3 linked regions of the Stegostoma tigrinum genome follow. The protein of the gene in region 1 binds, or shares a complex with, the protein of each later gene. Links are inferred from orthologs where the notes say so. Each region holds a gene or a part of one and is shown in the gene's direction. Other genes may lie near its edges. The genes, in order: taf7, taf11 and taf8.

Region 1 (3,753 bases):
TAATGCAGGATGATATAAAATAGCCATTCCTAAGGACGAGATAATATTCACATATTGGATCTTCAAAATTAATATTAATTCACCCCTGTAAGGTATTGTGATCACAGCTACAAGCACTCATAAGTTAGTCATTCTTAAATTGGGGACTGCCTGTATTGCTAAGCAATAGCTGCTTGATTAAACTGTCAATAACCTCTTCCATCAACTTGCTGGTGTTTGAAATTAGTCTCATGGGGTTGCTAGGGTTTGTTGCCTCTGTGTACAGGACATACCTGGCCAATTTTCCACATTGTCCAGTACACAGCAGTGTTATAGTTGTCTTGGAATAACTTGGTGAACTCAGTGACAAGTTCTGGAGCACAAGTTTTCAGTGCTGTTACTGAAATGTTGTCAGTGTTCACTTCTTCAAAATAGGTTCATGGTTCTTTAGCATTCATCTAAGACAGTAGATAGAACCTTGGTTTAATATGTCATCTGAAGGGCAGCATTCCTGAGAGTGCAGCATCAGTCAGAATTGCATTATGTGTTAGCCAGGGTTGCATGCTCAAGTGTCCGGAATAGTGAGTGTGTTCTTCCCTAGACCATGGTTCAACTTTTTCACAATAAAGTTACACATCAGGTAACTGTAAATAAGTAAAATTATGATCTCATACCATTTGAAAACCAATCTTCAACTCTACAGTGACATTTTTTGGATAAAACTGAAAGGAAAACATTTCAATTGTGCAAAACAAAAACAAATAGATCAGAAACTTTGCAAGAGGAGTTTCAATGTAAACAATATATCTCACCAGAACTACTGACTGTCAATTTGACAGGCTTTGGACAATGCCCAGGAATAGGGGATTCTGAGCCAGGAGGCCTGGATTCAAGTTCCACCTGTTTGAAAATTGTGCCATAATATCTCTGAACAGGTTAATTAGAAAATATCAATAAGTTAAATCTGTGTGTAATGCAATGTCACATCACCTACCCGTGGTAAAGAGGAAGCCATTGGTCCTGGCAGTGGATAGATTTTGTAAGCAGTATCTTAGGAACTCTAAGAGGAAGGGTCAATATCTGACCAGCTAAGAGCTTGAAGCGAAACTGACAGGCAGCACCTCCATGCCCTCACAGACCCAATAGAAACTGTGCTGCCACTGTCTCTCTGCTAACCCCACCCACCTCTACAGGCTCACTGTCAAACCCTCTCTCTCCTCATTAGCCGTCGACCAAACTCTCCCTTTTTCATTAACCCTTACCCGCTCACTAACACTCCTTCCAGTCTCTCCCGCCCACTCTAACTCTCACCTTCGCTGCATTTACCCACCTCCCTCTCCGCTCCGCCCTAACTTCCGTTTCCGGTCCGTCACTTGACCACTTCCCTCCTCACCCCCTAACAACGCACGCACACGCTCCGGAACCATCCTCTCCACCGAATGCAGCAGGAATAGTCTTCCCCATCGCCCACGGAGTTGTCGGAACTTGGCTGGGCCTGTCCCTGGGAGAAGGTTTCCGAGGTTGAGGGCAGTGCTGTGTACCAGGAGACGAGAATCAAGTCCGGGCTGCTCTATGCCTCCTCCCCTCCAACGGGCTGTGACCTTTGGACACTCCCTGTCTCTTGTGATCCTGAGCCTTGGGCACTGCGGCCGATGGATTGACGGACGGGCCTGAGGAATATGGATAAAAAAGGCTCCGTGTCCTGGAAGAAGATGACAGGTGAGGAAGTTCAACCTGTGGTCCTGGCCGCCTCCTGTTTCTGTCACCCCAGGCCAGCCCCCACAAACGCTGCACAAGTCTGGTTAAATCAGGGGATGAGATAGTAGGAATTGCAGATGCTGAAGAATTTGAGATAACAAGGGGTAGCTCGACACCGGAAATAGTTTGTTTAGGCTAAACTGTGTAGCACTAACTTCATGTAGAGACATATCACTAGCTTACCGACAAGGTTGATGCCTATGGCATAAAAGGGACCAAGGCAGCGGTCACTCAGTGCAGTGGTGAACCTTTGTCAGTCTGAAGATCAAAATTGTACTTCCCCGAAGTTACTATTATGACTGTCACTTTATCTATATTAATGACCCTAGACTTGGGTGTCCAAGATGCAATATCACAAGTTCTTCTTATATTTATTCACGAGATGTGATCTTCACCACTGGAAACCTCTTGGTTGAACAGTGAGAAAAATAGCAGTCTGGTGGAATAGGCAGACATATAGCAGAAGGAAGTTGATTCAGACAAATGCAAAGAGGAACAACTTGGAATGAAGAATGTGGAAATGTAATGCAAAATAAAGTGTGCAATTCTAAGAGATTGCAGAAGCAAAGAGACCTGAGGGGGCATATGCACACAGATCATTAAATGTGGCACAGCACCTTAAAACTCTGGCTGAAAAAGCACAATGGGCTTTATAAATTGAGGCTTGGAGTGCAAAAGCATAGATATTATGACACCTTTTTAAAAAAAAGTCTGCCCTCAATTGGAGTTTTATGCCCAGTCTGAGTACCAAAATCCAGGAAGGATGAGAAAATTTTTGACAGGACTCAGAAAAGATTTAGAATTGAAGAATGGTCATAGCATAGAAGAAGGCAATCCAACCTATTGTTTCTGTGATGACTCTCTCCAGGATCAACTTGGTCCCACTAACCTGCCTGTTCCCTACAGCTATGCAAATTTCAGACAAATATCCAGTTCTGTCTTGACACCGTAATTGAAACTGCCTCCTGCACTCTTGGACATCCCTGCTCCTAACCACTTGCTGCAAAATAAATTCCCTGCATTGGGATCGTTTGGAGTGCTGATTGTCATCCGGTTCTTGACTATTCCACTAATGGGAAGTAGTTCACTGATTCTGTTCTGTCCAGATTCCCCATGATTTGCTCTTAGACTTATTGAGCTGTACAGCATGGAAACACAGCCTTCCGTCCAACTCATAGCAGATATCCTAAATAAATCTAGTCCCATTTGCTAGTGTTATCCCATGTCCCTCTAAACCTTTCCTATTCATACACTCATCCAGAAGCCTTTTAAATGTTGTAATTGTACCATCCTCCTCCACTTCCTCTGGCAGCTCATTCCGTACTTGCATGATCCTCTGTGAAAAATTTCCCCCTTAGGTCCCTTTGAAATCTTTTCCCTTTCACCTTATACCTATGTCCTCTAGCTTTGGACTCCCCCGCTCTGGGAAATGGTCTTGGCTATTCACCCTATCCATGCCCCTCATGATTTTATACACCTCTATAAGGTCACCCCTCAGCCTCTGATGCTCCAGAGAAAATAGTGTCAGCCTATTCAACCTTTCCCTGTAGCTTAAGCACTCCAACCCTGGCAGCATCCTTGTAAATCATTTCTGAGACACTAAATCCTTCCTATAGCAAGGAGACCAGAATTGCACACAGTCTTTAAAAAGTGGCCTGATCAACATCCTGTACAGCTGTGACCTGATCTCCCAACTCCTATACTCAATGCACTGACCTATAAAGGGATACATACCAAATACCTCCTTGGCTATCCTGTCTGGCTATGACTCCAATTTCAAGGAACTATACACCTACTCTCCAAAGTCTCTTTGTTTAGCTGTACTCCCATGGATCTTACCATCAAGTGTATACGTCCTGCCCTAATTTGCCTTTCCAAAATGCCCCACCTCATATTTATTTAAATTAAACTCCATCTGCCACTCCTTGGCTCTTTGGCTCACTCAGCCAAGGTCTCATTCTATTCTGAGGCTACCTCCTTTGCTGTCCACTACACATCCAATTTTGGTGACATCTG
Region 2 (3,753 bases), on another chromosome or scaffold:
TCACGGATTTAATTCATCATCAAAATGATTGTATGTTCTTTGCAAGTAGCCAACCTTGAAACAACTGTGCAACTAAAATATAACAAAGATTCATTACGAAAGGATGGTGTGGTGTTTTTGTATGTTATAAGGCGTTGTTACATGTGATCCATGTTTCCCATTTAAAGTTTTCTGATTCACCATTCCTATAAAGGATCAAATTAATTCCTAAGTCTCTTTTAGATGACACAATTTTCAAGTAAAAGTGATTAGCAAACCTGTTTATGATTACAAGTGTGCCTTACTCTCCGTTTGGAGATACCGGTATCAGGAAACCTGCTGTCGTGCTATGTCACATTTATCTGTCTTGTGATAGCCACAATCGCTTGTTTGCCATTTTACAGTCACATGCATCATCCAGCGACGGCCCCCTGAGTCAATCTTTTTCCTCTAGAAGCGACCTCCGTGGTTTTTCAGCCCTGGCCATAATTGTACATTTTCTTGTCTGGAATCTGTTTTTGAGTGTTCTTTCTACTTATGCTTTACGATGCTATCAGAGACTGATACGATTCAGAGATCCGAACACCCAGCATTAAACTGACAGAACCATCAGGTTTCACATTTTTAAACAAATACAAAAACTTTATTGTATATAAAAATATTAAACAATGCAAGCGCCACGGCTTTTGGGGACTTATGCTTTAAACTCAGTTCTGCATTTTACTACCCGCCAGAGCTCCTTATCTTAAAATCTTTGAAGGTACGTTCTCCTTCCCTCATCAGCAATACGCAACGTGCAAATGTTCCACTTGACCAGCAGCTTCAGAGCAACAAAACGAAAGCGACAGACCTTCCTTGACCAATCTTAGTGGTCTAACGAACACTGACGGAGGTGGAGATGTGAATTAACAGCATTGAACCACAATAACAGACTATAAAGAAAACTAATATTGTTTTTTCTATACTGGAAGTGGAGATATACCTCAAGCTAAGGATGTAGTGCCCGCAAACACTACTCAATGAAGGTTTAAAACGTTTCAAGCTACAGAAACATTAAATTATTAAGATATATTGTCAAGCAAATTACTGCAAACCTTGAAATAAAAACTCACAACCAGTCTGATGTTCATTGAAATTAAAGGTTATAACTGCTTTCCCGTCCCGGTATTTGCAACATACAGTATTTTATTTTTATTTCAGTCCAAGCAATGTGTGTTTTTTGTGACTACAACCCATTCTTAAACAGAAATGCAAATTTCTGAGACAGGAGCTGGAGATCTCAACATCCAGGAGGAGCCACAAAGCCCTAACATTGCAGCCAGAGGAAGGAGCTGAACTCGGGGATCAGTCGGGCTGAGCGGCCGCGGTAGCTTCAGGCCTGGGACATCTTTCTCGAACGCAGACCCGAGATCAGCCGGAGAATCTGAGATAACAAGGTGCGGAGATGGATGAACACATCAGGCCCAGCAGCAAAAAGGTCTAGACCCGGGATCAGCCGCAGTTTTGAATTCGCGATCTCCGTGCGGTTTGTGCCTCACCGGGATCCGTCAGCAGGTCACCCGGGGCCAGATCCATGGATTTGGAGCAGGAGGCGAAGTTTAAAGCGGCCGCGGTACCGGCCGAGCCGCCTAAGGCCGGAGAAGTGGTGGAGGCTGAGGTTTTACCCCCGGACGGTACGGCTGAGCAGCCGGGGCCCAGTGGTGCAGAGACGGCAGTGGTGGCGGCGGCGGCAGTAGTGAAGGAGAAAGAAGAGGCGACGGCGGCAGGGGAAGCCGCGGGTGGGAGACAGGCCCAAACGGACCAGAAGCCGGCGGCGCCCCGGGAAGGCGGTGCCGAGGAAGAGGAGGACGATGAGGATGGAGATGCTGTCCACCAGGCTAAGAGGCTGCGGGTGGAGCCGGCCAGAGACAAAAAGGACAAGAAGCAGAAGGTGGACGAGGACGAAATCCAGAAGATGCAGTGAGTTGTGGGGCTCTAGCTACAGGATTTCTACCCCCGGCGATGAACTGTCCCCGTGTCCAATTACAACATTTAAAAGGCACCTGGATGGTATATGAATGGGAAAGGTTAACTGGGGTATGGGCAAAATGTTGGCAAATGGGACCAGATTTATATAGGATGTCTGCTCGGTGTGGACGAGTTGGACTGGAGAGTCAGTTTTCATGGTTTAAAATCGAAATATTTGCATCAAAGAAGAGAAATGTTGCAAATTCTGAGTACAGTAGTTGCTTAGTGACTGGGAGGATTAAAATAAATTAGTATTAACCTCCAACAAAACCACATCAAAATGTTGGCGATCTCAGCACATTAGGTAACATACATAGAAGGAAAGCAAGCTATAGTTTTGAGTGGAGATGACTTCATCAGAGTTGCTTTCAGTACAGATTCAAGTTTCTGCCGTAATTTGCTCCCGCATCAAAATGTTCACCTCACTTTCGATATTTGCTCGGATTATTGCTGACATGATCTAACATAAAGTTTTGAGGGGTAACAACAGTTGCTCAGCTCCTGCAGAGTTCTATGCATATTTCCAGTTGACCACCAACTATTCTACCCTCTCCCCCAAAAGATCCCACCATCAAACATTATTTCCACAGACATCACTAACTTCACTTCACTCAGGGAATCGCGCTTTCCTCCTGCCTGCTGACCCAAACAATTTCCTGTCTCAGTTCCCCAAACTCAGCCCACTTCTGTCTTCGACCCAGAATTCACAAACGGAGCTGCCCCGGTAATAGATAACAAAGCGTGAAGCTGGATGAACACAGCAGGCCAAGCAGCATCTCAGGAGCACAAAAGCTGCCGTTTCAGATGAAGGGTCTAGGCCCGAAACGTCAGCTTTTGTGCTCCTGAGATGCTGCTTGGCCTGCTGTGTTCATCCAGCTTCACACTTTGTTATCTTGGATTCTCCAGCATCTGCAGTTCCCATTATGTCTGCCCAGGTAATAGCATCATTTCACCCTCTTCCTGCGCCACGAAACACATTTCATCATTTTTTGACTTAATTTTTTTCTCTCTCCCTTTGGCCAGACCACTCCTACTTATATTCACAATTCTTCTGACACTTTGTTCATTTCAAAATTTCCAGTTTGCTGGCACCAGGTGCCTCCTCTTGACTGTGGACATCCAATCCCTCGTTAAGATGGTCTGAAGATTTCTCCTTCTTCATTGAGAGTAACCCTGAACTCTTCTTATCCATTACCACTCTCCTCAACTCATCCTCACTTTGGACAACTTCTCCATTACCTCTTCTCACTTTCTTCAGGCCAGAGGTCGGCCATGCATACCCACATGAGCACCAGTTATGTTTGTCTCAGTGTTTGTTCTAGTCCTACTTTGGTCCTTCCCCACAACCCTTTCTCCAGTACATTGATGACAGTCTCAGGGCTCTTCCCTTTCTCATCTGGAAGGGAAAAATTTATCAAACTTCTTTACAACTTGCATCCTGTTCTCATCCTCCCCTTCTTCTACATCTGTTTCCATTTCCATTTCCAGCTGGTCACTAATATCCATTACAAACCCAGTGATTCCCTCAGTTACCTTGACTACCTGCCCCCTCACTCCACTTCCTTTGAGGACTCCATCCCATTCTCAGTTTCTTTGTGTCTGACTCATCTGTTCTGATGATGCCACCTTTTGCAGCGGGGGCCTTGGAATGTCCATCATTTTCCTCAACCAGTGATTGGCCATCACTCGACTTGGCAGGATTCTCAGCCATGTCTGATCTACCTTCTACACTTCTACCCTGACCCGTGCACTCCCCTCCTACAACTG
Region 3 (3,753 bases), on another chromosome or scaffold:
ACCTGTGGTGCAGTTGGAAGCACTCTTGACTCTAAGTCAAAAGTGTCTGGGTTTAAGTCTTCGTCTAGGACTCAAGGGTCAAAATAAAAATTGCCACTCCTGAGGTGGTATGTGAAGTAGCTCCACAAAGGCTGGTATCCTGTCACCAAGTCAGCCTTTATTTACACATGCATAGTACATAACACTGACCCAGCTAGCTTAGAACTGTCTCCTAGAGTGAACAGAATCGCTGACACTCCTGTCAGCCAGGGCCCTCTGGTCAGACCAGGTTAACAGCCCCAGTCAGGGAACTCTTATTCTATAATGCCCACTTGGTTGATCTCATTCCAGCCACTACAATAAGAACTGTCGGAAGGTGTTATCTTACTGGTTAAATGTTGAGCTGATACCTGTGCCTTCCCATTCAAATTGCCTGGTGTCCTTTATTCCCTATGGGACTTATGAACAGAGGAAGGCCATTTGGCCCTTTGCATATATTCTGCCATTCAAACAAATTATGGCTAATCTGATATAACAAAGTGTGGAGCTGGATGAACACAGCAGGCCAAGCAGCATCTCAGGAGCACAAAAGCTGACGTTCTGGGCATAGATGATAAAGGACAGAAATGGTAAGTGTCTAGGCCCGAAATGTCAGTTTTTGTGCTCCTAAGATGCTGCTTGGCCTGCAGTGTTCATCCAGCTCCACACTTTGTTATCTCGGATTCTCCAGTATCTGCAGTTCCCATTATCTGTATGGCTAATCTGGTAATCCTCAACTCAATTTTCCTGCCTTGTGACCATAACCCCTGATGCCCTTAATGATAAGAAATCTATCTCCTTGAATATAATTGACAGCCCTCTGTGGCAAAGGATGCCACACATTCACAGCCCTCTGAGAGAGAGAACAAAAAAAAATTAAGGTAGGAACTACATTTCAAAAGCATTCCATGCGGCTGGGAGACGTTCGGTGAAGGATACATGTAGGTGTAAGGATGTGTTTCAGTTTAAGGCACCGATGCGAGCGATGTGTCAGGCTGGGAGCACCAGGCTGCAGTCCCCGCTCAGCCAGCGCAGGGGGCAGTACAGGCAGCGACGAGCAGGAGCGGAAGCGGGTCGGCGGAGCTGAGCTGAGGTGACGAGCTGCATCATTTTTCATCCCGATAGCGTGCGACTCTTTCGGATCTAAAATCTCCGGCCGCACTGAAAACAAGCGTAATTGTGAAGTCTGCTTGCGTTTAGGCACCGGATGGTTTTATTTTCCTGAAGCAAGGAAATCAAATCTTAATTTACTTTAAGCCGGTGTCCAGCCAGGAGTCTCTCGAGTGTACAGGCCTGAACCAGAAATAAATGTCCCAGTTTTATAAAGTTACATACAGCTTAACGCACTCATGAAATTTAAAATTTAGTAAGGAAGTAATTTATTCGTCGATGTCGGCTGCCTTTTTTTGAATGCAGCAAAATATTTTGCTTAAAAAAAGTCTTCCAAATGCGATTATTTACAGTTTAAATGTCTGAGGCACTAAAAGTGAGTATACGTTAGATAAATGCCTTTTAAAATTGCATGAATTAGAGTTTTTCTTGCTCCACGTAAATGTGAAATGGTTTATGATCAATGGCTGTAAATTCGATCTGTCTGCTAATTTAAAAGGAGAGCTTGTAATGCAGTGGGTGGTGTCCCTGCCTCTGAGCCAGAAGCTATTTGATGGCCAAGGAAGATGCATTCATAATGTAGCCAAACTGCAAAATCTGGTTCCACACAGTAGTGGAAGAGATTTCTGGGCAGCAGTAAGATGGAACAAAGAGTGAAGCCTTTACCCATCACAGTATGTAGCTTCAGAACACTATCTGCATGTAAAATAACATGTTTCCACACAACTTAGACTCCATTGAGTTGTAATAGAAGCCATCCTGCGAAGTGATGAATGGTTTCACTTCTTCTGTGCTGACTGTTTCAATCCTTGTTTTTCTGTAGCTTTTTTTAAAGGAAAGGTGAAAATGGCAGATTAACTAATAATATATTATATTAAGAGCATGAAAAAAGCATATTCAGTAGATAATGTGACAGTCAACACATATCCGATGTAACAAAATATTTTTCAAAACTTTAATTGTGGTGCGAAGGGAGAGCATTTCGGACAAGCGAATACAGCATTTCTGGATATCGAGAATGATAATGGATGAGGAAAAGTACTTGGAAAGAAAATCACCTACTTGAAGGGTTTACCTGATGCACTTGACTCTCAGCTAGCCCTATGTACTTGCATCACTGCCACAAAGTGGGATCCAGGAAGGATGTGGTTTTTCAGATCGTTAGTACCTTGCCACAGACATATCCACTGGATGTAAGGAGCATGTGGTTGGATTTTCAGGTGCATTGGGCATCAATTAGGCAATATTTTCACTGCCTCAACACTGGTATTGTAAAATGATTTTACAAGGTTAACTAGCTCAAAGCAAGTAACAATTTTCATATAGCCAATATATGCCGGTGCAGTGGCCCTGTAATTCAGCCTTAAAATAAAAGAAAAAAAAATCTCCTATCAGCACCATTCCGCTACCCTCCCTTGCCACTCCCCTCTTTATCTGCAGCTCCCTGTACCCCACATCCAGTCCTGAAGAAGGGTAATACCCAAAACGTTGACTTCCCTCCAGATACTGCCTGGCTTCCTGTGTTCTTTCAGCCTCCTGTTTGTCAGTGCTGTAATTAGGTTGTGTAATTAGTAGTTAAAAGTACAGAGAATCAATTCAATTTACTATACTGAAGTGCCATTCTATATTATATACTGAAGGTAGGCTTGAACAATAATCTGTCACCTGTAATTGAACAAACAACAATGTAACAAATCCTGATGGCAACTCAAGATGGGAAACAAATGCTGGCCTTACCAGCAGGCTCTATATTCCCATGAAATAGTAAAATAAGTGTTCTGAGTTTTAAGAGAGATGTTTTTTGTTTTCTTCGACCGCCCGTCATGCTTCTCATGGGTAGCTGGTAATTGTTTCAAATTATTGAATGCATAGAGGGCTAAATGCTAACAACAAGCCTACATAGTAGAATTAGGATCTTGGAACACCTTAATGTATTTCCATAATAATTTAATTCTTATTTTGTATGCAGCATCTCTGCTAGTGAACTTCGCACTCACCGGTTGATGACAAAGTACATGCTCCTTCATTGCTCTTATAATGGATGATAGCAATTTTTTCAATATTTAATTCTTTTTGAAGACTAGAGAAGGTGGAAGAACCTTGTTGCTAGGCAGATATGAAACCCATTTGGCATTTTAGTGGCTTTGTGGGAAGATTAATTTTTTTTCTGGTTTCTTTTGCTTTTTCTTGAGTTTGTGATTTCTTTATATTTTTGAAATATGTGGTGTCTTGCAGCTTTTCTCCATTTAAATGTTCAAAGACGTTGAGATGCATTCTGGTTTTTGCTGGTTTTTCATTTTGGGTGGGTGTGAATGATCCACTTAGCTCCCGTTTGTAAGAGTTTCTTTCATTCAAAGTATTGCTGCTGGCTGCATTGAGTGAAAAGACCAATATGTAATGTTCTTCTGTTCCTGTAGGCCTTGCTTTTACACGATGCAAACATGCTTTTGTCAATCTAAACTGATGTATTGCATATGTAAAAATGAAAGTTCAGGTGTTGTTTGAAATATCAGTTTATTGATTGTTAACATGAATATACCTTTGTTTCAGGCAACTATTAGATTGTGAAAATGACTACGGCTTCTGTCTCAGATACATATACGTCAGCTGACGCAACATGTAGAG

Evidence for each region.
Region 2: taf7 (region 1) and taf11 share a complex: the UniProt entries of both Homo sapiens proteins name them as parts of the TFIID basal transcription factor complex. The link is inferred for Stegostoma tigrinum from reciprocal best matches to the Homo sapiens genes TAF7 and TAF11.
Region 3: taf7 (region 1) and taf8 share a complex: the UniProt entries of both Homo sapiens proteins name them as parts of the TFIID basal transcription factor complex. The link is inferred for Stegostoma tigrinum from reciprocal best matches to the Homo sapiens genes TAF7 and TAF8.

The regions. Positions count from the first base shown.
Region 1 is NC_081368.1:72,088,381-72,092,133, forward strand, and holds the start of taf7 (transcription initiation factor TFIID subunit 7), read left to right. Parts: upstream 1-1,343; 5' UTR 1,344-1,658; coding exon 1,659-1,698; intron 1,699-3,753. Other genes in the region: zgc:101583 (magnesium transporter NIPA2), read right to left, coding at 974-994. UniProt on the Homo sapiens protein: The TFIID basal transcription factor complex plays a major role in the initiation of RNA polymerase II (Pol II)-dependent transcription.
Region 2 is NC_081374.1:38,050,176-38,053,928, forward strand, and holds the start of taf11 (transcription initiation factor TFIID subunit 11), read left to right. Parts: upstream 1-1,281; 5' UTR 1,282-1,552; coding exon 1,553-1,938; intron 1,939-3,753. UniProt on the Homo sapiens protein: The TFIID basal transcription factor complex plays a major role in the initiation of RNA polymerase II (Pol II)-dependent transcription.
Region 3 is NC_081374.1:14,878,823-14,882,575, forward strand, and holds the start of taf8 (transcription initiation factor TFIID subunit 8), read left to right. Parts: upstream 1-1,048; 5' UTR 1,049-1,111; exon of another isoform or gene 1,112-1,504; intron 1,505-3,678; 5' UTR 3,679-3,698; coding exon 3,699-3,753. UniProt on the Homo sapiens protein: The TFIID basal transcription factor complex plays a major role in the initiation of RNA polymerase II (Pol II)-dependent transcription.